Linked DNA regions of Yarrowia lipolytica. The protein of the gene in region 2 interacts with the protein of the main gene of each other region in a biochemical or structural test. Links are inferred from orthologs where the notes say so. Each region holds a gene or a part of one and is shown on either strand. Other genes may lie near its edges.

The links.
Region 1: the proteins of YALI1_C23989g (region 2) and YALI1_E00963g form a complex in vitro, tested with the Saccharomyces cerevisiae proteins (3 studies listed by BioGRID). The link is inferred for Yarrowia lipolytica from reciprocal best matches to the Saccharomyces cerevisiae genes SED5 and SNC2.
Region 3: the proteins of YALI1_C23989g (region 2) and YALI1_D30224g form a complex in vitro, tested with the Saccharomyces cerevisiae proteins (2 studies listed by BioGRID). The link is inferred for Yarrowia lipolytica from reciprocal best matches to the Saccharomyces cerevisiae genes SED5 and GOS1.
Region 4: the proteins of YALI1_C23989g (region 2) and YALI1_F39272g form a complex in vitro, tested with the Saccharomyces cerevisiae proteins (5 studies listed by BioGRID). The link is inferred for Yarrowia lipolytica from reciprocal best matches to the Saccharomyces cerevisiae genes SED5 and BOS1.

Annotation. Positions count from the first base shown.
Region 1 is NC_090774.1:91,483-99,947, reverse strand, and holds YALI1_E00963g (uncharacterized protein), read right to left. Parts: upstream 3,585-8,465; coding exon 3,495-3,584; intron 3,050-3,494; coding exon 2,801-3,049; downstream 1-2,800. Other genes in the region: YALI1_E00986g (uncharacterized protein), read right to left, coding at 937-1,263; YALI1_E00948g (uncharacterized protein), read left to right, coding at 5,092-5,457; YALI1_E00928g (uncharacterized protein), read right to left, coding at 6,118-6,408, 6,929-7,123; YALI1_E00907g (uncharacterized protein), read right to left, coding at 7,695-8,465. UniProt on the Saccharomyces cerevisiae protein: SNC1 and SNC2 are vesicle-targeting proteins essential for normal secretory traffic between the Golgi and the plasma membrane. They may also be involved in vesicle fusion.
Region 2 is NC_090772.1:2,394,414-2,402,808, forward strand, and holds YALI1_C23989g (uncharacterized protein), read left to right. Parts: upstream 1-4,486; coding exon 4,487-5,407; downstream 5,408-8,395. Other genes in the region: YALI1_C23948g (uncharacterized protein), read right to left, coding at 1-429; YALI1_C23950g (uncharacterized protein), read left to right, coding at 627-1,079; YALI1_C24016g (uncharacterized protein), read left to right, coding at 7,227-8,395. UniProt on the Saccharomyces cerevisiae protein: Required for vesicular transport between the endoplasmic reticulum and the Golgi complex. Acts as a target organelle soluble NSF attachment protein receptor (t-SNARE).
Region 3 is NC_090773.1:3,021,220-3,024,214, forward strand, and holds YALI1_D30224g (uncharacterized protein), read right to left. Parts: upstream 1,169-2,995; coding exon 509-1,168; downstream 1-508. Other genes in the region: YALI1_D30230g (uncharacterized protein), read left to right, coding at 1,725-2,165; YALI1_D30241g (uncharacterized protein), read left to right, coding at 2,854-2,976. UniProt on the Saccharomyces cerevisiae protein: Involved in transport from the ER to the Golgi apparatus as well as in intra-Golgi transport. It belongs to a super-family of proteins called t-SNAREs or soluble NSF (N-ethylmaleimide-sensitive factor) attachment protein receptor.
Region 4 is NC_090775.1:3,925,396-3,933,503, forward strand, and holds YALI1_F39272g (uncharacterized protein), read right to left. Parts: upstream 1,814-8,108; coding exon 1,133-1,813; downstream 1-1,132. Other genes in the region: YALI1_F39261g (uncharacterized protein), read right to left, coding at 1-761; YALI1_F39291g (uncharacterized protein), read right to left, coding at 2,376-3,731; YALI1_F39314g (uncharacterized protein), read right to left, coding at 3,957-6,056; YALI1_F39330g (uncharacterized protein), read left to right, coding at 7,634-8,108.

The DNA.
Region 1 (8,465 bases), on a different chromosome or scaffold from region 2:
TTCATAACAACAGGCTATGCTCACATCGATCTTATTAATTATACAGTAACACACATTTTTTATATTTTTAGAATCACAATACTTTGCTTAAAAAAACAGTAAGATATGGATGCTCAACCAGACCCATTCAGTCTCTCACAGACTCCATCAAGTAACGACTCTCACTCATTCGTCTCAAATGCTTCCCCAAACGATCACTGGAACGGTGAGAAACAAGGGGATGAGCGTGAAGCATTTCGCAGAGATATAAACGTTCTGTATGCCTATTTTATCTCTGGACAAGAATGATTGCAGTAACCAAAGCGTTACGGACCATAATGACCCCAATGAAGGCGTCGGCACCTTTTTCTCATAGCAGTCGAGCAGATGGGTGACCACAATAGCCCATGACGACCCGAATCCAAAAGCTATGATTGCAAATCCGACAGTGGGTACCATCCATGGACACCGAGAGCAGTCGATATTCCGAATAGGAGAATGCCGATAGCCATGGAGAAGTTGGACTTCATGAGGCTGTAGAGTTTGAATTCGGGTTCGTGGACTCCTTGGTTTTTGCTGAGCCAGATGATGGCCATATCATGAAACCAACCTTCAAAGAGACACCCCAAAATCATTCCTACACAAGGAGCAATATTGACATTGTCAATAGCTTCAGCTGAAAAGTTATATGGAGGTTGAACAAAGGAGTTGCCCGAGATGGTGGCTGCCATAGATAGCCTGGAGAGCAAGAATCCGTATTGAGGAGCACAAAAAGTCACGATAGGGTATGTGACGAGAGTTTTAAAGGGCGTAATCAATTTCCGGGAAAATTCGACCCAGCTTCCAGAAGTGTAAGTGATAAGAGCCAGTAGTCCGAACGAACCTGTGAGGAGTGATTTGTTTGTCTGTATCTCCAAGTCCGTGCCTGAGGTCTCTAATTTAACAGTGTCCAGACTATTAGAAAGGACAGCATCTTCGATTCCATGAGATCGACTCGGTTTGTTGTATTCTTCTGACAATTGAACCTCTCCCAGCTCGGACAGTTCGGCAACTACTGTAACCAGATACCCGATAATTGGTCTTTTCAAAGAACAGAAGTGTCATAACGAACTGAACTCCAGCAATAATAACAACAATGATGTACACCATTCTCCAGCTGAGATTGAGGGTGATATATCCTGAAGGCACCAGAACGAGAAAGTTGCCCACCTCTACCACAAACATGTAGATACCATTGTAGTACGTGCCTCGTTGGTGAACGATGTAGAGGTCTGCAACAGTCATTTGAATAATGGTCTCATCCACACTCACAGCAAGACCCTAGACAAACATGGACCCATAGACTTGAACGATGGACTTCATCCACGCCTGCGAGGCTTCACAGACGACAACTAAAGCTGAAACTGTCAGATAAAACGGGTCTTTTGCCGAATTTGTAGGAAAATGAAAATAGGAGATCCAAGTCCCAGACCGGCCACAGAAAGGGCATACGAGTTGTTCAGCTGGTCTACAGTCCAGCCATACTCTTGTTGCCAAGGACCCCACATTACGGACTAGACGCAGGCTGAAGTGAAAGCAATGAGTGTAAAAAAACAGACCTGGAAGAAGTTGAAGTGTTTACGCAATGTGGAACAGTTAAGGGGCTGTCTTGAATCGGAAGTTGGCACTGGCTGGAGGGTGGTTTCTGAGGTTGATGTGGTTTCCAGAATCACTGTTCCAGGAGGACATTATGAGTCTGCTTGGGGGTATATAGGGAATAACTAGCCAGTATATGAAGTCTCTGGCTTGAAAATCTCTGGACTATCATGTTTCATTAACAGTGCTCGACTTACATGCTGCCCCTTGTATCGCACTTGTACATTATTACAGATTGTCGACACGACAAAGTTGCAGCTCACCACTAGTTGTACTTCTGAGACATATCTAGCCATCTTATAATACATACAGACACCATAGACGGACAATGTCTTGCGGAATCCCATACAATTCCCTTGTAGGATTCGCCTGAGAACCGATAATGATTTACATTAACGGCTCAGCTAGGTCGTTGCCTGCTGTACCTTACTCACCTCTGCTAAAGCTGTCTCACTAATCAGCACAGATATCAAACCTCCGTGGGGCACTGTGTGCTAATTACCATACAGTAGTCATGTCCTTCCGGTAGCTACTTTCCATGCCATCCTTATCTTAAATTGTCGTAAAGTCTTATCCTTCCTCAGTCTTGGGTCGGGTATTCCTGAATATCACCACTCTCTCGGTCCATACTAACTCTCTCCAGTTCCCCAGATCCGTGGAATAATTTTGTAGATACCAAGTTTCTGGTAATCGATAATACGATTGCATTTATTATTAGAACTACCATTAGGAGTTTCTCGCACGCCTCTCATACATAATTATCGTCACTCTAGACACATTCCTGACCACAGACGTGACTGTATCTTGCATGGAGAGATGTGTTGATACTAAAACACAATATGGTCCGCATGAGTATGTACAAAGTATTGCCATGTCGGATACATTGTTACTGTAGTTACTACTTGTAGTAGCTCGTACTTCACACCAGGAACACAGGTACAAGTACAGTATATACTGTGTGTAATGCGGATATCTACAACCACAGTATATGCTGTAGCCAATGAAGCTCTTACCTGATGGTTCGTAGACAACACCTCCGTTTATACCAACGAAGATGTTTTCAAAGCTACAGGACCAGTCAGTAAGATGGATGCTTGTGCAAGTATTTCACAAACATCTGGCCAAAGAAAAGTACAGATTCATTACATAGGCATTAAGACCAAGACCATAAGGGGGGTCTAATAAATTATGAGAAATGGATGGCGATAGGGACAACAATGACGACAATCAGAATGATAACACCAATGATGAGACAGATCTTCATCTTGAAGTCCTTCCACCACATTTGCTTCCGCACTCGGTTGGCGCCTCGTCGGAAACCCTGTGCAGAGACTGCCAGGTTATCGGTCTTGTCCTGCAGAGAGTCTAGTCGCTCACCTCGCTCGGCGACTTTGTTGATGTTCTCTCGCATGATACCCACGGTATCATCGATTTGCTGGGTTAGAATTTGTCAGATGTGGTGTTTCGGGGATATTAAGAAACACGGCCAGGGAAATGCGGTCGATAACTCATGGTGATACCAGTCACATGACACGATGATAAAGAGATCTTAACGGTGAAACGGTCCAAGAACGCCGCTCAACAGCTGGCGTCTCACAAGTGAAACCTTCAGCTCTGTTGAGTGTGTAGTCGTGCTTGTTGTGGAAGTCGTGACAGTGTGTGATACAGTTGGGCAGGCATCCGTCATAATCAGACGGTGAGCCATATAGACAAACGATCACCTGATTGCACAAACTGGTCACGCAACAAACAACCGACTCTTCTGATGCCTCCAACTGGCCACCGTGCCTTTACCATCCTCTGAGCTGCTGGTATCTCGTTTTTGTGTCTGACGTTATGTCTCCTTAATTCTCGTGAAAGTGCCACGAATTCATACTCACTGCCTGGATGGCGGCGGTCTTGTGGTTACCGCCGGGGGCGTTGGACTCGCCACCGGGAATGTAGGGGTCGTATGGGACAGAAGAGGACATGTCGGAAGTCGGGGATGTGTGACGACTGTGAGGAGTTGAGAATAATGTAGCCAACTGCAGGACTGGGTATTTTTGTGAGGTTTCACACAACAAGGTTATTTTTAGCTAGCGGCATTTGAATTTGCACGTGACGGGTTGAAAAGTGTGTTACAAGGATATGTCAGGGCTGTGTAAGTGGCAACAGTGGAGCTACGGGTCCGGGTGTTTTTTTTTTGCAGGTTTCCGTTCTCTCGTCCCTGGCTGTATCTCCTTTCTCTACCACACTTTCCCTTCTACGTCATTATTTCAACACGTACGTCTTCTCTGTGCAAGTCCCAAAATCATAACACGGAGTTACAACCAGAGGAGTTGAGGTGATTCGCACTACTTGGGAGAATGAAGGGGGAGATAATGTTTTACTGTAGAGGAATGAGGATAGGAATGAGGTATATCATTAGCTATATACCTACAAGTAGCGTAGATTTAAGTGGAACCGCCACAGTGTGTAATTTCCAACAACTTCGGCACATTTTCTGCACTCGTACATGGCTGTACATACCTCATGTATGGGCTGTACCATGTGTGGCAGAGTACACCGCCAGCTATTTACTGTACAAACGATGCCAATCGGGGCGATGAACATTTGCGGGTGCTGGTTAAGCTTGCAATAGCTACAATTGTAGTAAGCGGTACACTCCACCCTACAAAATCCCAATAGAACGGGCCCAGTACTACGATACTCGTTCGTACTTGTACTGCCACGGACTCTTGTTTAAATAATTTGTCCACATCCGCTTCTGGTTATCAGCACAACACCATAACACATGCAGTCACTCAGCCTATTGTGCCGATAGTTTGATAGTTTGAGGACAGTGGCAACGTATTCATTGAAACCCAGCCTCATGCCGCTGCCCAAGACTGTGTCTATGAGAGTGGAGGCGGATCTTGAGCTTTCGGCGCCTTTTTTAAGGGTAGCCGCCGGTAGCCAATATGGTGCTTGGATACTTTTGCCAAGCCATAGAGATGCCAGACGAATGACAAGTATGATTGGATGGAAAAAATGGATGTGAAGATAGAAAGTACTACGGACTTTTAGTGCAAAGCAGGGGCTCTGATAAGAGCTCTATGGAGTGTTCAAGTTCCATATGTCCACAGCGCACGGTATAGATACGTACCCACAGTGCATAACACAGCTACCCTTACAACCAGAGCATCGACTCCCAAGTATGAAATCGAGATGCAAGTAAACAGTCAACTAAAAACGTGATAGCGAAACTAAACTCAAACACGGAATTTACAGCCTTCTATATCAAGACAGTACAACAGAACGAGATTTCACTGTTCTAATTTATGGCCATAGCATTTTACTACAGTAATTTACTCTCAAACCCGTATCCCCCTCCATCGAACCAGTCCTCTCGACACTCACTTTTCCTGCTTCGTAATGCATGCACAGTGAAACTCCTCCTGCGCTCTCCACTCTGTTTAACTTCTGGGAAAATCCCACACCATCATCCGAACTTACATAATGCTTCGTATTCGACCCGTGCTGCGACAAACGACGCTACTCCGCCACATGTCCTCTTCCAACACGCCCATCACCGATGCCATCAACTCCCGGGTCAAGCAGGAGTTCACCCCTGTCTTTTTCAAGGTCAACAACGACTCTCACAAGCACGCTCACCATGCTGCCATGCGGGGATCGGACAACACTATCGAGTCGCACTTTCGACTGACCATTGTCAGCGACAAGTTTGAGGGCAAGAGCGCTCCCATCCGACACAGAATGGTATACAAGCTGTTCGAGGAAGAGATGGCCCAGCCCAATGGTCTCCATGCTCTCTCTTTGACTACCAAGACTCCAAAGGAGTGGGAGGCTCTCGAGAAGAAGTAGAGATAACGATAGACACCCGAAGGCAGAAGTGGACCGTTTAAGACTGCTCACTTGATGATGCAATAGAAGTGATGCCAGACTTTTGCCAGTCACTCTAGACCATCTACTCTATCTGATTTCTCTCGTTCGATTACTGCCTGGTACGCCTCTCCGCGGGCCACTGTCCATCTTTCCATTTCGATGCGATGTTATCTACAGCGTCCCATCATGTATATAATAAAATCTTCTAGTCCAAGTCCATACCCATGTCATGCTACGTTATATGGCAAGATCTACAGTATTAGTCAACTGGAAACTATGTTCTTCCCCCATGCCCTAAAAGAGGTCAAGTGATCTATCTTAATAAGCTGTTTCTCTCCGCGGCAACAGTAGCTACGATACCGGTGCATACCGTACACACACTTCTCCACACCTTTTGCGAACAGCTGTTCGTGCTGTGTGAACAAACATGCAGTTGTTTATACGATGTATCTCAGCACTCGCAAAGACACTACGACTAGGGGTACTATAAATGCCCCTCATACCACAATTACAAGACCAATTTCTACACATCTCTGCATCAAATACTTTTTTTAATATCCTTTACATCACCTAGGCTTAAATAAATGCTATTACTCGCGCTAGTAATGCGTCTCCTTTTGTACATCATCAAATTTTGATTTAGGCCTTGGCGACAGCCTTGGCAAGAGCAGCCTTTCGCTCTCGTCGGTGGACCATGACCTGGAATCGCTCGAAGTCGGTGAGATGTCGTCGTCGCTCTCGCTGAGCGATCTTCTTGGCCCAGCTGGACTCGGACCACTCCTTGAAAGCAGGAGAAGCCTCGACCTTAGCCTTGATGGTCTTGGACTTCATGCCTCGCTTGACACCCTCGACAACGTGGGGGGTAAGGGTGACATGCTTGAGGTTGGCAACCTGTCGGGCAACGCCGGTGGTGGGGCCGTCGATGAGGACCTGGGGTTAGTACTTGTTTCAAACAACATGATAAGGGTGTTGCATCGGTGATGTTGCAAACAAGGCATTCAGCATGCTGTGAGCATTCCACTGAACTTGCCCCGACACTCCCGTGGCTGGACACTTGCTGTGTCGCATTTCATGCTCCTCCTCTAATACTCACTCGTCCGTGGTCGACAATCTCGGCGATGATGGCAAGCTTGCCCTGAGTGGACTTGTTGTCAGATCGGTTGATGAGGACAATTCGGCCAGCCTCGACCAGTCTCCAGTTAACGCTCTTCACTTCGGTCATTGTTGATGTCTGTATGTGTCGATGTGTAAGACTTGATAAAAATTCAAAATCCAGATGTGAGTGGCACAATTAGATTTGGGACGAAAGGGAAACTGAGTGGTCATGTGATATCAATTAGGGCACAGTCACAACTTAAATATATCCCAAAGGAGTCAGTATATAAACCTTAAAATTATTGTGCCAGGACACTATAGAAGCTTCAGCCATAGAGCACAATCATAAACATACAACAGCTTTCAACACACCAGCAAACAACAGCCTAAGAGTGAGTTCCTTTTGGAAGAAGATTTCATGATGATATAATTTGCGATTGAGAAGCCATTCTGTTGAGACATGCCTAGTTTCTACAAGCAGATGGCCGAACTGATATGCTCTTTCTCGTCTGACTCCTCGTTCATTGTCAGTGAATTTTTGACGAGCCATTCTAACAAAGGTTGAAATGCGACGACTCAATGTCAATCTCTCTCTAGGCAGTGATACCCCTGCGACACAAACCTGACAAGCCACTAACGACACCTCCGACACAAACACGATGATTAACTATACAGACGCACACACACACTCTACATAGAGACTTTATGGTGAGTAACTCCTTCAGCAATCCTCTCCTCTGATGATAACTATCTGCTACTTTTCTGTACACCTGAAGACAATCTTTTATCACCAAGATCGCTGATGTTACTATAATGCCTAAGGCGTTTTCTAAACATATTCTAACCCAGATACCTGAAGCAGACCTACTGCAAGTAGTCGTCTCCTCTATATAGCACGAACAGACATGATAATAAGCACACACACATAGCAGACAGAACGAATGCGTAATCGTACAATGTACTGGAGCAAGATACATTTCATCCCCGAAACATCTCCCATATTTATGTGTATCCCTTTATAATGTTCATACTGGTGGCGCTACCCACGTCTACTCCCGCATTATATTACCATTCATTAATTACCTGACTATAAATACAACTGTTGCAAACACCCCCATCACTCACGTCGTCAGCCGGATCTCCGGCAACTCAGACTTCTCTCTCTCCTGATGCTTGATGATCTCATGGACAGGCTTACACACCTTGTCCACCACATCCATGGCCCAAAGAACGTCCAAATGCGAGTAATCAACCACCCGGATGGTATCAACCAAGGTCACATCCGTCTCCACCTGTGTGATGCGCTCGTAGATCTTCTCAGCATCAACCAGCATATCGTTGGTTGGAATCACCAGCACCAGCTTGGGGAAGTTTTGATCGTACCACTTGACCCCCGCCTTGTCCGGCAAGATGCCTCTGTACTTGGAGAAGTGGTTTGGTCCAAGCCACCACTGCATCAGCTGGGAAGACACAAACGTAGGGGAGTAAAGAAACTGCCGGTTGCGCAGGTTTCGATCCCACCATTCGTCGGTCCAGTCAAACATGTAATTGAACATGATGTAGCCAAAGAAGCCATACAGTCTTTTGGGGAAGATGGAATGCATGGTGTTCATCAAGGGGATGTAGGAATGAATACCAAATGACCACTTCCATCGCTCCAAAGACATGTTGCGACAGTACTGGAAGTACCACCGGTCAATAAGCGGACCTGCGTATACAGCTGGCGCAAGAGCAACAAACAGCTTGATCTTATGACCAAGGGCAGGGTAAAAGTCCCGGGACATGCCCAGAAACGCCTGTGTGGTTCCCTGAGAGTGACCAAAGTAGATGAGCTCTTCTCTACCAGTGACTTTGAGAACATAGTTCACCAGAGCAGGCAGGTCTTCGGTTCC
Region 2 (8,395 bases):
TCGCATGATCTCGTCGGTGATGATGAGCTCGTGGAACATGTCGTACTCCTCAATGGGCACAGAGGCGGGCTTGACGTTGGTGTACTTGGCCAGCTCCTTGTAGGGGGTGCCGAGAGAGCCGGCAAGGTAACCTCGCTTGCCCATCTCCTGGAAGATCTCCTTGGGAACCTCCTTCTCCTCATCCCATTCCTCAACGAAGGGCTCAATCTTCTCCTCAACCCACTGTCGGACCTCGTCACGCAGCTTGGCGTGGGACTCCTTGTAGTAGGGGTTGTGGTAGCCGTGGTACCAGTTGGGGTCGGCGTAGGGGACAAGGTCTCCGTAGGGCTCGAGGGCGGTGGTCTTGTTAGGGGCAATCATGGCTCGAGTGGGGTTTGCTTCAGCGTCTTTAAGGGTTCCGATCTTGAACTTGTGTCCAACCTTTCGCATAATCTTGGGGGCGTCGTGGTATTTGTGGAAAAACTTGGTAGCGTCTTTTCCTGCGACTCGTTTGAGAATCTTTTTTCCGCCGGGGTGTTCTTTCTGGAATTCAGTGAGGTCGAAAACGTTACCGTCAATGATGATCCACAGAGATTCGGGAGAGTTGTGCTCCGCAACTTGCTGTCGTTAGCGCTGTATATATACACATGAGTGGTGCAATAGGCTTTAGGCACATTAATGCACATGTACCGAGGGAAGGTTGGAAGGTTGGTTTGTGTGGGGAGGTTATGCAACGTGGCGGCGGTGGTGGCGGTGGCAACACCAAGCGGCGGTGGGTGGGTCAATCGATCGATTGGGTGATTCGTTCGATTGATTGCCGCAGTCCCGGTCCATGTTCACTATCTACCTCAATTCCTATCACACTACCGCAGTGGCTAGTGTGTACCCCAGATGTCACACCACCTAAGGGGCCGAATAGAGTTCATCGGCTTTGGGGGGTTAAGGTTGTTTCTGTGGGGAACGTGATTTTCAGAGCAGTCAGGGCAAGAGACGTTGGAGGCTACCAATTGCTGCAGAACCATTGGTGGTGGGTTCGGCTCAGTTTCCGGAGCTCCGAAAGCGACTCTCCAAGTCTCCCACCTCCTGTTCACCTCACCTGACGTCACTAGCCCACATCCACCGCAATACCTCGGCACATGCAACCAAACCTAAAATTATCCCCAGCACATGTCACATTATGGAGGCAATCTGACCATTGCGGAAAGAAACGGAGCAAGTGGCAGTGGTCGCTGATCGCCGGGAAAGGCCCAGCCTGAGAAAGACAGAGGAAGAGACAAACACAAACACAGACACAAACACAAAGCCTGACTCAGCAAGTGAAAGGGAGAGGGCGATCTAGACCGTCCAATCCGACTGGGAAGAGATGGACGGTCCAGATAGACAGAGCGTCTAGAGAGAGCCGTCTAAGCAATGTGTCTAGGGGCTGTGTCCAAACAATCTGTCTAAACGATCTGTGTAAAACAACCCGTCTAGATGGCATTTTCCCTGGCGGCGGCGCGTGACCAAGTTGCTCTAGAAGCCCTGTCCCAGTTACAAAGCCCGACTCTGAGATCCAGAATCTCTCCTGGCCATCTGTGTCGCCCAACCAATTCCGTTTGTCACCGCTGTCACCACCGTTTGTGTCTGTGTCGATACTGCCATCCCGCTACAACATGTCCCGTCTTCAGACTTGTGTCTGCTGTCGTGACCTGACCTGACCCGACCCCGTTGCACCATCTGCACTCTCACCGCCTCTGGCGCCTCTCTTTACCTCTGCCACGTTCGCCAAAACGTCCGCCAATCTCCCAGATCGCTCATACTCACTTCGGGGGTGTACTGCTCGCTCATGTTGTTGTGCTTCAGGTGTTATACCGTGTGAGTCTGGGGTTCTGGAGTCCGCGTGGGATTTATATCCAACCTAGGCCAAACTAGGTTTTCCCTTGTGTCAGCAAGTGGAGACCGGGCCAATCAGCGGCCAGCCAAAGTAAGATGGGGGCCGAATACTGCGTTTGAGACGCTTCTCCGGTCTACGATAAGGTCTGCCGAATCTGGTGGGGCGGTACGCATCCACATTTAGCCCAAATCTAGGTTCGTTTTGGACCTTTTTTGGTAACGTGATTGTGAGTATGTACGCAGTCTACATTGTAGCATTTGACATGTTGAACAAGTGCGAGTATGGTACATACAGAACTTGCAACTACCGAGTGCAACCACCAAGTACCGTACCGTACACCATCTCATATACATGTGTCTGAGGCTGTTGCAACGGTTCGCTCGATTCTCCATCCCGCCTCGAGCAGGACTAAAGAGCATACCAGGCAAGTCCGGTGTGAAGTAGCAACTTGACCTACTTATGACGGGGTTAGGGTTCCCGCAAGAGGGAGCTGGACGGTGGAGAGTGTGGGCAATTGGTGGAGGTGGCAAAGTCGGTTGGTGTGGGTGACTATGACTACGACGACGATTACGAGTATGAATTCGACTACGACTACAGTACTTGTGGTTATGTGTGTCCTGATCTGTTGGCTGTCGATGCACATACCACATTCATCTGGGGGACATGAACCTCGGCTGTACCTTACAGATGAGGTGCCGAGTGCTTAGTAAGCGGTAGGTGAACTTGTCGGAATGGCCAGAGAGAGGGATGTTGCATTGCAGAGACGGCATTTTATTCCTCAGAAGGTGTTTATTCCTTAGAAGGCGTTTATTCCTCAGAAGGCGTTTATTCCTCAGAAGGCGTTTATTCCTTTAATTCGGCCCTTTCTGTCAATACCGAATCGGACCCACACACTTCCAAAGTGGGGTTTAAACCAGATTTGATAATCGTCTGATCGGAAATCTGAAAAAAGCAAGCGATTCCCCTTGCCATTTTGCGTCGTTTCATCCCATTTCAAGTCCTCTCTGACCCAGATAGACCCGTCCAGCATGCACTCTATCGATGTCGATCTTTTTGCATACGGCTTCTGCATGCCCCGCCCCGCCCCACCAATGGCGAAGTTTTAACCTCACGAAAAACAAATTGCGGTCAATTTGCAGGTCCGAACACGCCACCTGTGGCTCAGTCGCCGCCGCTTGGACTCGTATTTTTGTGGCAGTGCAGAACAAAGTGGCCGAAAATTACACACAAGCCTGGAAGTGTATGGCATAACATTCGGAGGCGTGTTTGAGCGTTGTCGGGTTTGAGGTGTGATCGCATGGCATACTATACAGACACCACTATGCATTAGGAGGTACCCGTGTTGGAGTGTTCGAGGAATGTCAGGCTGTCAGTTTGCTCCATAGCAAAGCCTTCCAGAGTACTGTACTTGTACAGAACCCTTTCAGCCAGTCTGCAGGCGATCGACAACTTGGTGAACGTCTGTCGCGGTCCATTTCGCCAATTCTGACTAAGCCGGTAGTGTCCATGTCCATGATGAAAACGGTGGACAAGAGACATCCCCAAGAGGGTTGGCAGTAATAAATTGGACAATGGCCACGGCTACACGCTTCATATACGAAACGTCAACTAATATTCAACTAACCAACAGCTAATCAACAACTAACCAACAGCTAATCGACAACTAAACAACTATGTTAACTAATTCCCAACTAATCTCAGCTATGTTAACTAATTTTCAACTACAAGCAACTAACCACTTCACATTCAAACGAAAAGTGGATGACATGTGAGACTGTTTGTACACAAGATATGGATGATTGGTTCGGGATCGTTAAATCCAACGCACATCTTTCCTTGTCATTGAAAACCTGCTACTGCACATTGTTGTTCTCGGACTCCGTTCAACGGTCCGGCGATAGGAGCAGTTGTATCAAACGGAAATGTTGCGTTTTGCAACCAAGACGAAAAGTGGCAGATCAGAACGGTCTGGTTCACGTGAACCTTCGACTCCTTGTTTTTGGGCCTCTTGACTGACACAACGTGAATGGCTACTTGTTCTCGTAGTAGTGTATGTATGGTGGTGTACCTACCTATCTACAGCTGAGGACTCCCCAACCGTACATGCCTACATAGCAACGAATGCGCAACATGTCAGGTCACCCATATTCCTTGTTCATGGCTGTGCCTGTTCTGTAACAAAGACCTTTAGTGTCTACTATGGTGTGTTTCGGTTCACTAGTGGTACGTACTGGCACTATAAGTAGATCATGTCGGGTTATTTTTTTGGACTGGTTCTCCCATTTAGGAGAAGCACAGCCAACCCCCCTTTTGGCACTTTGCCGATTTTACCGCCGTTTTACAATTTTGGTAGTGGTTTGGGAACCACTCAGATCCTGTTAGAGAGGACATATTGAGACCAGAAAAGACGCAACGATGGAAACCCCGCGCAAATAAATCGATTTATCCACTCGGAAACCCGATTCCTCCGCTCCCCGCCGTTCCACCCATACATTTCCTGCCCCCCATCTCCTCCAATTAAGCTCACGTGCAACTTTACATGCATCCAAATATGAACACCTCACAGTTCCAACACGCCAGAGTGACACTGTCCGACTCAACCTCCCACAACAACAGCACAGTCCCCAGTTCGCGATGCTCTCTGTGCAGAACCGGACCCAGGAATTCAAAAGCGCGGTCGCGGCGCAGGCGCGGCTGCGGCAAAACGCCGTGCCGGCGCCACAAACCCGATCTGCAAAGTCGCAGTTTGCCCAGGACGCGTCGAAAATCGCCGCCGAAATCGCCGACACCACACAGATGCTGCAACGGCTAGCACAGCTGGCGCAGCGCAAGACGCTGTTCGACGACCGCCCCGTGGAGATCAACGAACTGACGCACGTGATCAAACAGAAGGTGTCGCGGGTTAACGAGCAGCTGACCCAGCTCCAGCAACGGGCCAAGCAGTCGACGGGCCAGAAGCAGACCATGGAGCACTCGAAAAACGTGGTGGTGTTGCTGCAAGAAAAGCTGTCGACAGTCACGGCAGGGTTTGCCGATGTTCTGGAGGAGAGAACTCGAAACATCCAGGCATCCAAATCTCGACATGAACAGTTCATTTCCGCCACGTCGGCTTCCACACAACAAGCGGCTTCCAGCCCGCTCTACGGCTCGGGAACAGCTTCGTCCAACCCTTACGATATGCAGATGCAACAGCAGGATCAACTGAGTGGAGCAGACCCAGAAACATCAGACCTGTTGACCCTCCCCCAGCAGGACACGTTACTGCTTGACCAACAAGACATGTACGTGCAGCAGCGGTCGACAGCCGTGGAGGCCATCGAAAGCACCATCCAAGAACTTGGAGGCATGTTTTCGCAATTGGCCACTATGGTGGCGGAACAGAGAGAAACTGTGGCCCGAATCGACCAGAACACCGATGATATCTCGTTGAACGTGAGTGGAGCGCAGAGAGAACTCATGAAGTACTACGCTCGAATCTCGTCGAATCGGTGGTTGATGGTCAAGGTGTTTGGTATTGTTATTGCGTTTTTCATGTTGTGGGTGTTGATTTCGTAAGGCGGCATGTGAACTAGAGAAGACGAATGGAGCAGGGTTTTTCTCGCCAACATTCCATCTTGGTTTGAGGACTAACAGTTGGTTGAAATGTGGTGAAATGGTGTTTTCTTGGTTGAGTGTTTCACTGAACTCCTCATCTCTCTATCCAGTCTTTTGAAAGAACTCTGTCATACCTCTGTCAACAACATGGACTCGGACGCACAGGTGTGGGTTTGCATATACAACCGGGGCACGGGAGAGGAAGGGCAGGCAGGATACATAGTGGAATAGATGGTGTTTGAATGTGCTGGATGTGTCTGGTATCTGGTTCTTGCAGCCACGCGTGGTGTTAGAAGATGGTCTTGTTGAGGACTGTTTGATAATGTGTCTTTTCAATGGACTTGGTTCGCACCGGGCAACCAACTGGATACTTACAACTCCAATCTTGGTGGTGTTTTGCATTGCAACTGTCAATAGCAATAGCTCATTTCTCTGTCAATGGTGCTGGGAAAGGGTGCTGGACCTCTTCTACACGCCCGTTGGATGGCTCGCTGAGGGTCGCAAAGTCCGTGCGAAATGACCTACTTAGAAAATACCTCCGTAAAGAAGACACCTCAGCTCCTCCGTGGCAACACAGACCTGTTGATCTAGAACAAGTCACCCCAGAGACCTCCCGGAGCCCTCCTGGTTCTGATTCTATGACCCTTCAATATTGTATTTCGGCCTACTTCATGGAGACTACCAGAGCGGGTAAAACAGCTCTCATGTTTAGGATGTTCAACATATAAAAATGTAGCTGCTGATCTCACCATTCTCATGGTACCATCAAAATCTCAGTATCTCATGTAAATATAGAAATACTGCGAAACTTGAAATTTGGACCCCCCCCAACCAGAACCCGATCACGTGACCGTAATACCCTGCCACAACCCTCTATGCGGCTTATTTCCCCATGTTTGGGAGCAGCCCATGCACACACACATATGCACACACATATGCAAGTTACGTTTAAAACCACAGGTGCAGCCTTGATGACTAAGCGCATAATACATTCCACTGTTTCATCTGTGTTTCACGGTCGTGCCGAGGGGAGAGTCCATTGGAGATCACGTGTCCAATACTGGGGCATGTGTGTTGGTCACGTGATCTACAATATTGTGAGATTGGTCGCTTTATTGGGTTTTTCCAGGTGTTTTCAGGTGTATTTTTAACATGTTCGTAGAATCAACCGGATTCTCATCTTTGAAAATTGGAGATTTATTGTGGATTTGTGGATTTTAGCATTTTAAAGGATATCATTGGATTTGTGGCAATGAGGACTATACAATGGTGCCATTTATATCTGTCTCTCATTACTCCTTCCTGTTGTGTTCTCTTTTTTTTATACGACCACCCCTATGATGAGCAGTATGTGAGACAACCATAACACTGTATTTTTTCAGGGGTTTCTGAAAAGCTGAAAAATGATCATTTCTGAATTACGGAATATCTATTCTGGTCAAAATTGTTCAAGGAGTTGTTTCCCGCAGTCAAAATCCTTCTATCTTCTCTCAATGATCCCCTATTATCGAATCGGTTATTTATAAAGTTCTTTTCTGCCGCAGCATTTAAGGTTGCTGGCATGCATGATGTTCAAATATAGGCAATCTTGGAGTATCATTTTATCCGACACTATTACAGCTTGAAAGTGAGTATGGCCCGTCTGCGGGGGTGTTTGCAAGTGTCTGGGGCACGTGTGTGGGTCATGTGATGTACACGTGTCGCGTTGCCGCGTGTTTTTGGCCCCACGCTACCACGACTACCCCTCCTCATCGTCCTTGCTACTAACACAGACGACCCCATGGGTCTGCTAGAAAAGACGCTATTTGCGGAAGGAGAGCCGTTTTCCTACGATGGCAACAACCGGGGCAAGCGCAAACTCCGGCCGATGGACGGGTCGAGTTTGCCGCTTGAAAACACTGACTTTTCGGCCGAAACCCTCGATCGACTAGTTGGAAGGAACGTGGTGTCTCCTGCTTCGGACTATTTCCATCTTGGAGAGAGTGGTGAGGTTTCAGAAGAGGTACGCGCAAGACGGGAGCTTCGGGACCGTAGGCTTGCTGCCGAAGAGGAACGTGAGAGGGGAGCGAGAGCCGCAAGAAAGAGAGCTGAAAAGGAAACCTGGAAGGAGATCGAGCAGAAGTACGGCGAGGGGAAGGAGCCTGTGGTTGGAGATTTGCGGCGGCATGTTTCGAAGGATGAAGACGGAAATGCAAAGGAATATGTCCCCTTTGATGAACCGTCGACTTCAATCATTCCTCCTGAAACCAGTCAGGATGGCAATAAGGATTGCAAGCCTCCGAAGGGGGCGTTTGAGAGAGAGACGCCGTCGTACAAGACTGCGTTGCCTATTGGTGAGTACTACCGAGGAAAAGTGGGACCGTTTGATCTATATGGGTACTGTACTGCATTACCCATACTTAACGGAAGACAGGGCTCAGGCCATGGGACCACTGATTGTAGTTGCCTAGTCACTAACACAGCATCATCATCTACCTCATCCAAATCCCGCACGTCCACGTCACCACCATCACCAACATCTTCTTCGTCATCCAACTCGGATACCAAAGAAACACACCATGGACACCAACACGACTACACATACCACGACACGACATCCAACGATTCGTTCAAGGACGCTCTTGAAGAGCTGGATGAACCCAGTGACGACGGAAGCTTCCAGGAGCCGTCGACAGCAAAAAGCACACACAATTTGCATTCCTGGAAAGATGGAGATACCGACACACTGAGAGGAGAGCATGCTGATATCGGCACAGCAGAAATCAGCACTTTGGGCAAGCCAAACCTTAGCATGGGCCACGTGATGGGCCGAACACACTCGCCGTCCATAGCGTCACGTGACTCATCTGCTTACGTGCAGGAGCCTATCTCTATTGTTGAAGATAGTGCGAGTATCGAGGAGGAAGAAAGTATTACAACCACCCGGTCACGTGTATCTTCCCACTCGCG
Region 3 (2,995 bases), on a different chromosome or scaffold from region 2:
GAAGCACGATATGAATCATCAATGAACATCACACACATCACATGCAAACCACACGACATATATACCAAAAAAAAAAAAAAAACAACAAAAAAAAAACAACCTGTAAAATGAATCCATATATAAATAATGTACATAGGGGTCAGTGTAGCCCCCTTCTTAGACTGTTCCCCCATTGTACACACTAGGGTAATACAATGACCGCAACAGGCACAAGCCTTACTGCGACGCTTAGTCTACTGTTAAATACATTCATCTATTTCACCTCACTCTAGCAGCAGAGAGCATACCTAATGAATCTAGCAGCTACTGTTACTGTTTGCGCCACCCTTAGCGAGCGCCAATTTGTTGTGTTGCGCTCACTTCTTGGTCCATAGGCAACTTCCATCAGGGCCAATTCCGTGGGCTTCTTCTGTAACATATCCTGTGAGACCTCGCTCTGAACGTTGTGTCCCAAGATGCTCCCAGAAAAAAACAACAAAATAACCCGTTTGTTCGAAGTTTACTGTTGCTATCTCAGGAAGAGAATGAACAAAATACCCAGGGTGATAATAACCGCCAGAATCAAACTGTCTCGCTTCTTCCGGGTGTTAATCTTGGAAATGACCGTGTTAATGCCTGGAATGCTGCTAGCCGTGTTAAACAGCCGACGCTGGATGTTGGCCAAACTCGCCCGCTGGGTCAGCAGCTCCTCTCGAGTCGCATACGCTTGAGCAAGCAGAGTATCGGTCATGTTATTTGAGTTGTCCACCCGGCCTCGCTCGTGTAACATGTACTCCTCCTCGGCCTGGGGAGTAGCACTTCGGTTTCTGTGTCCCTCGATATCCGACCGCACCGACGACAGCAAGTTGGCCCGGTCTCGTTCCTGCTTGATTCCAGCGTTGATCTTCTTGTATTGCGATCTGTGCTCTGCGAGAGTCTCTCTGTGGCGTTGCAACTGGCCTGTTTGTGTTGCTGTGGCGTTAGGGGTGGAATCCAGCAGACGTTCGAACGACTCCAGGGAGTCGGCGGTCTTCTCAATTACCTGCTCGATATCCCGTCCAATCCGTACCTCGTCTTCGGAGGCTGCTATGGCGTGAGAGGTGGCAAAAGAGGAGTACTCCGAGAGCAGCTCTGCAAGCTGAGACTCTAGCCGTCGCACTTGTGTTCGCGAGCTCGATATGGTCGCCATAATTGGGGGGCTTTGTGGTGTTTTTGGTGGTGCTGGAACTTAGGTACACGTAGCGACAGGTATCGTACCGTGACGCACATGCAGGTGGGAGTTGACTGCATGCACGATACAGTATGAAATTAGCGAGATGATGCTTGTGAAGCAAATAATAGAACAGACAATACCGGGACGGCGACTTAGGCTGAGGGAAGGGGGTTGAGAATACAAGGGACCAACATAGGACACTTATACAACATACACACACATATATATATATAATATATATATATAGAGGAATCCCTAATAACCCCTCATTTGATTACATAAGGTGAGTGATCACTTGTAGAAGGGGGAGATGGTGTAAATATAAGGCGGATAAATACAAGTATTGGTTCTTGCAGTCAGGTAGAATAAAGCTCGCAAAAAATGACTTACAGCTCTCGACTAATACCGAATAGGTCGTATGGTGGACCACAAGCCTCCTCACCATTTCCCTTGAAGCGACTTGTATCATGTCGACCCTAACCCATTACTCTGATATCATGCACGATTTTTTAACCACCATCAACATATCAGCATGGGCAAGACCAAACGAGAATCGGCTCTTGTGGAGAGCAAGCGGCCTGCGAAAAAGTCCAAGACCGATGGCGACGAACCCACCCCATCGCCAACGCTCTACGTGAAAAACCTCACCGACAAATGCACTAAATCGGACCTCAAACGGTACCTGTACATGCGATTCAGCTCGTACGGACACATTCTCGACATTGTGGCGATGAAAAACGAGCGGATGCGGGGCCAGGCACATGTGGTATTTAACGATATCGATGCGTCGATCTCGGCGCTCAACGGGCTGCAGAAGAGCGAGTTCATGGGCAAAGAGATGGTAATTGAGTATGCTCGATCCAAGTCCCATGCCATTGCCAAGTTGGACGGCTCGTTTACCATTCCCGAACCTCCCGCATTCGAAGAGAGTGTTCTTCCGTTGGCACCTTTTGAGGATGTCACGGCAGAGTAGCGGCAAATCGAACGCAGTGAGCATTGGACTCCTCGGGGGCCAGTGACTCGTGGACGACTTGTGAAACATCGCAAGTCACAAGCCGCGAACCTGCTCTATACAAGCTTCTTGCGACAGTCGAAACGGCAGAAGCATCTGCATCTTTCAGATCATGGGAGATGAAGCGGTTGGCAGGCATACTATGAGCTTGTCATGATTTCAAACCAGGGAGGATTATTTATTGTATAATAGAAAAGGTGCATGGCACCGGATGACGTCATGAACAAATACGGATGAGATGCTGGATCGAAAGAGTAGTTGATCGGTTATGTTCTCCAAAGCACTATCCACTACAACCTCAGTTCAGTGGCCCACCAGTAGTCGGTATCGCAGAGGCACAGAATGGCGAGAGCTGATTCCTACAATGACAGAATGCTGTAATAGAAGCAATCAATCAATTAATAACATAAGAGACTCTTGGTCGGAGCTATCAAGGTGTTCTTGACGACGAGAATGAAATGTCTCTAGAAAGCAGACCGGCAACTCTTCTAACAGCTAGTTCCTGTTGATGTAACAGACGATAAGTGTACTTGGTTTGGTAGGACAAATCACAGGAGAGCTAGAACTAGCCTGTCAATATCTAGCAGTACTCGACTGAACTACTCGTCTGCTGATTCACGTTCGAGACCATGATTGACGAACCTGAGCAATGCGTTTGTCCGTCAACCAACAGAAGAACAGAAGAACCAGTCTGTGCTGCAAGCAATCCTTTCGAAGAACCGCACGAGTAAAATACTTGGACTCTGAACACGTTTTGCATCAAGTATCATATGTCTAGAACATAGGTGTCA
Region 4 (8,108 bases), on a different chromosome or scaffold from region 2:
GCCCTCTGTTTGAACGCCTCGCGCGTGGCTTCTGTATCGGTAAAAGATCTATGCTGAATGTGGAATGCAATGGTCATCAGCAGTCCGAACAGAAGCCCCCATCTGTCCTTGACTAGGGCCCAGTAAAAGTCGAATCCCCGCTGGACGCCCTCCAATGCATGTTTAGGGAATCGCAGCTCCTTTGTAATGAATTCAATGTCGGCTGGCTGTGGATCGTCTTGCTTGGGCCCTCCTTTTCTGGGCGATTTCTGCGGCGACTTTTTCGTCTTTGAAGGTGTATCTGGCAACAGCCCGTCTTCCTCTCCAATCGCCTCGGAATTCAACAGATCCTCCCCGATCACATTGGCGTCACTTCGACCGCTCTCCTGGATGTCCTTCTGCACCTGTCGAGCAGTCCTTGGTGTTTTCGGCGTTCTCTGAGCAACCAATTCGGGGTTCTTCATTGGCGACTTTCTCTTCCGCGGCGTCGAGGGGCCAGGAGGAGCGCCCAGAAGCTCCTCTCGGAACAGTTGGAGAAGCTTCTCGTAAGATCTCGGTGGAACGGGCGGTTGTGATTGCTTGGGTGCCGGCAGTTGCAGCTCAATCAGCAGCTTCTCAATCGCTACATGGGCACACAGAGCCATGCGAGCAGGAGTCTCGTTGGGCTTCATTGGAATTGTCTGAGCCTTGCCCATGAGCGTGGATGCGAGATTTGTCACCTCCCTTGGAATCGGAACGTTTCCCACCAGCTTGACAATCTCCGCGTTGATTTGTTGGTTCATGGTGAGTGTACTGTTGCGTCACATCCAACTTTTCAGATTGTCCCGTTCTTGTATTAAACTATTAGAGTTTGGGTGGATAACACTGATCAGGATATGATAAAAGTTCGTATGTAGGAGCCAAGTAGGAGTGATAGGGACATGCCCTACGGTATGTAGATAACTCATAGTTTTGTCTCACTTGTAACTATATACAGGTAGTCAATTTCCGTATCATCCTCCTCAGCATGTCCACCATTATCTATTATTATATGTAAAGATTGTTCCACCGTTAATTAAACCGTACCTGTTCTCTCTCACTCTGGGCTCTCTGTTTTGTTTTGTTTTGAGTCGCGTTGTTTTGTTTTTATGACCATTAGCTTGCTGGTCGTCTCCTAACTGAACCACTTCAAGATGTAATAGAAACACACGAGCATGAAGACGATGCCTCCGTAGAAAAACCGTTTGTCCTGTCGTGCTCTCTTCTCCACCATCTTGATGGTCTCTCGAGACAGACCCAGAGTCTCGGCCACAGACCGCATCTTCTTTCCGGTGCTTCTCAAAATGTCGCTCTGCTCCTGCAAGTCGCCCAGAGCAGCCATTCCCTGCTCAATGAATGAGTCGAGCTGCTGGCCCACCTGGTTCAGAGACGACTGTTCCCTTTGCATGCCCTCTTCTCGTGTAAGATCTGTGTAGGTCGGCTGAATCGGCACGTCTCGGTTCACGTTTCTGTTTCGCGACTCGCCGTAAGGGTTGTCTCCAAACAGCGCCGTTTTGTTCTCCTCTAGCGTTTTCTCTTCTCGGGCCGATCTGAGGTTCTTGAACTCGCTTCGTGCGTCGGCCAGCTCTTCACGAAACCGAGCCAGACGTGCCTCAGCCTTTTCCTTCTTCTCCTTGTTGTGTTCCTTGTTGATAATTTCCGAATAGTCGTCCAGGGTTCGGCTGAAGGAGGTCATGGTAGCCGAAATCTGGCCTTGTAGCGACATGGGCGCCCCTGCGGGGTTGGCGGAGAACTCGGACAGGTCCTTCTTTAAGCTGGCATTCTGCTTCACCAGATGGTTGTGAATCGCGTTCATGGTGAAAGTAGCTAGTTTGCGGTACGAGCCCTCGTTGTTTGTTAGATGACGTGTTAGGTTGGTGATGTATCTCCAAGGTGTGAGTAGTTCCAACAACCTAAACTTTTATTGTTGTGGTTGGCACAATGTGATGTGCACGGGATGCACTGCTTTCGGAGTCAGGGGTACAAAAATGGATTTATGGAAAGTATGGCGAGGTTTTTGGAGCTGAACTACAAGTAGAGGTTTAGATAGCGCAAGAATTTTTTCAAGGGGCCGTTAATAGGACAACGTGCTTTTTTTTTCTTTTTCCCCTGCATACAAGTACCAGGTGGAGCTGAGTCCAAGTAAACATCTACTAAACTTTGAACTAGCTGCTCGTTCTTAACAAGCTTCAGGCTGTAAATTGTACAAATGCAGAAGAAAAAAAAAGTTGGCTACGAGGGCATCACAACTCATCAATAATAGATAGCTATGCAGCTATACAAGCAGGTTCGTACCCGCTCATAAGCAAGCCCGCAAGCTTGCTCACTCTCCCCTTCTTCCGTGAAGACTCTATTAGCTATGTACAAATAATTCTCCCTTAAGTAACGTACTTTCGAGAGTAAGCGACCTTCTTGTCGAGAGTGCTCATTCGGCCCTTTCGCCACATAATGACAAGCATGACGGTGGTAAACACACACACGCCGTACCAGGTGGCAATATACTGTAAATGGGTGTTTCGAAGATCGACCTTGGGCAGCTTTCCAATGGGCACTCCATGGTTCATCATATGGGACTCGGTGACCCACTCGTGGCCTCCGAGGCGCATGTTGAGCTCCTCCTCCAAGTAAATGTTCTGAGCTCCGGTGAACTTGGACATTGTCGGAATGTCCATGAAGTTGTAGATTCGGACACTGGGGGAAGTTGGGGAATCGGGAGTGAACATGTTCTTGAGAGGAACAGGTCTGAGCAGACAGACGAGAGAAACCTCGCCCTTGGGCAGAGCGAGAGGGTCTCGTTTCTTTTGGTCCGCCATCTCCTTGGAAATCCAGCCTCGCTTAATCAGCAGCTTGGATCCACCGGTCTTAGATCGGTCGAGAGGAGTCACAAGGAAGTAGCCCTCGACAGAGTCCTTCATTCGAGGTCCGACCAGGAACTCTTCATCGTGGCACAGTGTACCAGTAACCACCACCTTTCGGTACTCAAACTCTCTCTCCAGAACCTCCTGGTCCTCGGTAATGTGTCCAGGCAGGGGCAGAGGCTCCTGGAGAAGTCGGTTCTCACAATCGGCAATCTTGTCCACCTTCCACTGCAGACGTTTGACTTGCCATGTGCCAAGGTAGCCCGAAATGATAGGCATGAGGGCACAAAGACCGAGGAAGACAAAACGCTTTCGGTTCTTCTTCTGTGATTGCGGCTCTGGCTCGTCGCTCTCCAGCTCGTTAGCTCCAGACTGCTTCTTCTGCTGCTTAGGTTCTTCACTGTTGGTGTTGAACATGTTTTTGTTGTTAAGCAGAGCGCTTCTGGTCGAAAACTGTCGAGAGGCACATTGAGGGGTCAGTGTAGTGAAGGCAGGAGCTGTGGTGGAAATCCTTCCAATGCGGCTAGCGCCATATCGAGCCACTCTGAGAACTTGCATTGTTGATGAGGAAAAGTGGCTAAGTTTCGATATAGAATTGAGTATCTGCACGTTGTGCTGACTAAGTGTGGCTAGTTTGGGAGATTGTGGCGCAGTAGCCAATCGGCGAACATGATGCGGAACATGTTTGAGCGCACTAAACCACATTAAAAGTACTGAGACAGATACTATAAGATTCATGGAATTATCCCTTGTACTGTACGTATACTTGCACCTGCTATATTCGCCACAGATTAGGACGGAATTGGAGTTTTTAGTATGTGGTCTACGATTGTGCTGTTTGTCCACTTCACAACTACCCTCTGTGCTGAGTAGCATATGTCATGGTGGCATCTTCCGGCTGTGTTTGTCTCTGTTACATAACACTGTCTGGCTTTCGAAGCTCGAAGAGTTGGCCAATCCCTAATGGTGTGGGCGCTCGGAGCTTCTGCTACTTGTAGCATACTGTAGCTCACTGTGGTCCTAACTGCATCTACTATGACCCTCTACATTCCATTACTGTATACCAAATGCAAATAAATAATTATTTATGTAACCACCTAACTATCCCTGGAATAAGGCAGGATAGGTATTATGTAACCAGTTGAGATACTGCTGCTCAAGCTGAGGAGTGTACTTTTGCTTAGCCTCCAGCAGTTCAATCTCGTTAGTCCGAGGACCCAGTGTCTTGGTCCATCGACCCTTCACACTGCTGGAGTCGTGATGAGTGTACTTCTCTGCAAACGGCTCATATGAGCTATAAGATCCACGTTTTGAGGGGTCCAAGTCACAGACAAAGGCCTTGATCGCCAGGTCGTCCAGATCTGTGTACGGAATTCGCACCCGAGGCTTGGGTCCCGTCGTTCGTTGAGCCTTGTGCATGATCTTGGCAAAGACATCACTCACAGAAGCGCCTTCAATGACAGGAGCATTGAGGGCTATATCACGTAAATTCTCGTCGGCTTCCAGCTTCGAGAGACGAGTTTGCAGGGAGAATTCTGTGTGTCCAATCATCGCGGTGAGCTGGTCAAAGAGCTCCTTGCGAGGAATAGCCAGTTTCTTGGCTGTTTCTGAAGTTTCCAGGAGCAGTCTATCCTTGGAAGGGTTGAACTTGTCCCGTGGTCTTCCCTTCTTCCCTCCCTGGAGAGAATGCTTGCCGCGGCGTCTCGGCTGTATCGGCAGAAACTCGTCATCGAACTCGCCACGAGTTGAATGCTCGTTCTCCTCGTCGTCTCCATGATCGTATGCGTATTCTCCTTCATCTTCTTTGACAGCGACTTGATCCCGGCTGTTGTTTTGATGTTCATTTTGGTGTCCATTCCCCTTTCTGTCCTGCCCGTATTCATCATCACTGTAGTGGTCAGAGTCGCTCTGGACAAAGAACTCTGCCTGTCGCTCTCGGGAAAACTCGGTTTCGAACCCGTCATCAAATCCGTCGTCTTCATCCAGCAACACTCGGCGTCGTCTACGAGCTTCGCTGGGTTGTTTGGTGGGTGACTTCGGTGGCTGAGAGGCCCTCGTTGATAGTTTGGGCGCCTCGGCTGGAGTCTTGGAGAGAGATCTGCTTGATCTTGTTTTTGTAGGAGTCGCTTCTCGGTCGGATTCTGACTCGGAACCATCTACAGGTTCGTCCTCTGTTTCCCCTTTATTGCCGAGATGATCTGGGGCGGTCTCAAACTGTTCCTCATCCTTTTCAAACTGCTCCTCAGCTTCGTAGAACTTGTCATTCTCGTGCCTCTTGGGTTCTGGTTTCACAGACTCCTGGCTTTCTTGAGTGTGTGATCCAAAATCATCATCAGAGTCTGAAATCTCCTCGACCTTTCGGATCCTTTTGTTGCGATAGGTTCGGATTGAAGGTTGAGTAATAGACACTCTCTTGCGAGGAGACTTCTTGAGAGAAGGCAGTATCGATTCCGAAACTGAGTCAGGAATCGATTCTTCTTCTCTCTGTCCTTCCTGTTCAGATTCCTCCGACTCGTTTGTGGTGTTGGAGTTGTCAGAACCGTCAGGACCGTCAGAGTCCGAGTCCTGGCCCGATCCCTTTCCCTCTCCCGAGTCCGAGCCCGAGTTGTCAGAGCTGTCGGACTCATCAATCTGGGAAGCTGTGACGTCAGTCACCTCTTTTTTCACGTTCACTGTTTTACCTTGGGGTTCCGACTCTTGTTCTTCCTCTGACTCCTCAGAGTCACTCTGATCGTTCTGTTCGTCCTCGGGCTCCGTGACCTTAGATTCCTTGTTCACAGGTTGGAATGGGTTATCGTCTCCACCTTCCTCGTCATCCTTATCAACGGCTAACGTATCGTCCACCGTCTCAACACGTATTCCCTTACTCCTTCTCCTCTGTTGTCTGACCATGGCCTTGAACCGTGATGCACTGCTCTGATACTTCGCCGATGCGAACTTAGAGGGAGTCTCCAGAATAGCAGCACGCGCCAGCGAAGGTGTGCTTCGCAGCTTATTGAGAATGGTGCGGTCATGAAACTCCAACGTAGGGTACATTTGCTTGTGATGGGCCATCTCGCGCTTGGCACAGATGTTGATGGTGTCTCGAGACGGGGCGAGCACCTCGACTCCGGGAATAGCTGCGATCACCGCCTCGCGGTTTTTGGTTCCTGGAGAAACGTAAAACTCGTGCTCTTGTTGTAAATGCGGTCGCGGCGTCATGTGTCGGAGCAGCCGGCGTATATCCAAGGTCGACTGTAGTACGATCACTGGTACGGGTACCGTAATTGGAGATGTTGTTGTGGTGTATCGCTTCTAAACAGAGTTCGAGAGCTAGTCTAATGGCACGCTTTGACTAAACATTCTACAGTAAGTGCAAGTAGCTACAGTAGATACTACAATATCAAGCTAACTTGTAGTAATTGAGCCGGTGCTGTCGTTTTCGTGTCATGAAATTAGGCACGGTCAAAACCCATTGCCATGGAAACAGTGGCGAGACACAGCACAGTTTGGACTATGGAAAACAGTTCAGACGCAGCTGCTCAATTAGCTATTGCTTGACTATAGACTGACTGACACTCCGGAAGCAGATAAATTCCTACAGCATAGTCCCACGGCTCTCCTTGCCCGTACAGACACCCATGCCTATTATACAATGCACGTCACAATGTAGACTTGGGTGGCGTCGTAGATGCACAACAATGGAGACGGAGCGTGTCGAGCAGTGTCAATCGCGTGTACGAAGCGCGTTATAGAGAGGGTGTCGGATGGTTGCCACTACAAGTATAGTGGATACACTACAAGTACCCAAAGATGGGTTGGCTGGTCATCTCATCGAAGATTGCGGTCCTGGCTAACAATAGCTGATCTGCAAATGTCTTGTGGCCATAACTGAGAACACAATGGTCTCGTACCTAACCGTTTTATGGTCCAAGGCTGTACAAGCTGGTGTGGACAATGGAGCACCATATAGAAATTATAGCGGCAAAGAAGGTGTCCGTGCCATAGAAACAAGCGTACCAACGGCCACAGCAGCGACACAATCAACAGCAGCAGCCGACAACAAGGACTACTTGTAGGTTGATAGTCGGCTTCCGCAGCGATAAGTTATTTAGACCGAATTAGGCATTGTTATGGAATGTGTGGGTCGCAGACAATGGAGCTGCACGTTGGCTTCACTTCCTTTTGGATGTGCACAGCTCCAAATTGTTGTTGCTGCACGCTTTTTTCGTGCAGAATAATATAGGGTTCCCCGATTTGGATGCTAAATGACGATGCGCGTCACTTTTAGCGCGCGTTGAAGGGAGAACGATACAGCATGTGCGTGTAGGACGAGAGACGGATAATATAAAAGAGATATTGCTTAGCTATTGTTTTAATTGAATTTTCTGTCATTTTCTTATAGTAGTCATATAATTTTTTCTTGGAAAACCACTGATTTGCACAAACTAACGCGTGATCAAAACACGAAAAGAGCTGTAAATGAAAATCATTTATAATTGAGTTCGACGCGGTGGCAACCGTGACCAACAGGATCCAAACACCAGTATAGGAGGTGATAAAGAGGAGCTGTTGATAAGGAGAAAAACGGATATGATACGAATGATTTTTTGCAACGTCTACTGATATGTCATTTCCCATCTTTGCTTTTCTTTCACCCCTTTATCACGACCCATTTCAGTAACCTGCACCTTGACCCTAAACCAAGGGAGGGAACCTAATTCCGTCAAATATATAAGATACGTGTCTCCCTGTGCAAGCGTGTTTTCCTCTCTCCTTTTGCATACCCATCCCCCATCATGTCCAAGCTCTTTGTCATCAAGCGAGACGGCCGCAAGGAGTCGGTCCAGGTCGACAAAATCACTGCACGTATCAAGCGTCTGTGTTACGGCCTCGACCCTGACCACGTCGACCCTATCCAGATCACCCTCAAGATTGCATCCGGTATCTACGAGGGTGTTAGCACTATCGAGCTCGACAACCTGGCTGCCGAGACAGCCGCCTACATGACCACTCTGCATCCTGACTATGCGATTCTGGCTGCCCGAATCGCTGTGTCCAACCTGCATAAGCAGACCAAGAAGCAGTTCTCGCAGGTGGTTTACGACTTGTACCACTACGTGAACCCCCGAAACAAGAAGCACTCGCCCATGGTCTCCAAGGAGCTGTACGACACCGTGCAGGCCAACGCCGACGAGCTCAACGGCGCCATTCTCTACGACCGAGACTTCACCTACAACTACTTTGGCTTCAAGACCCTGGAGCGAGCATACC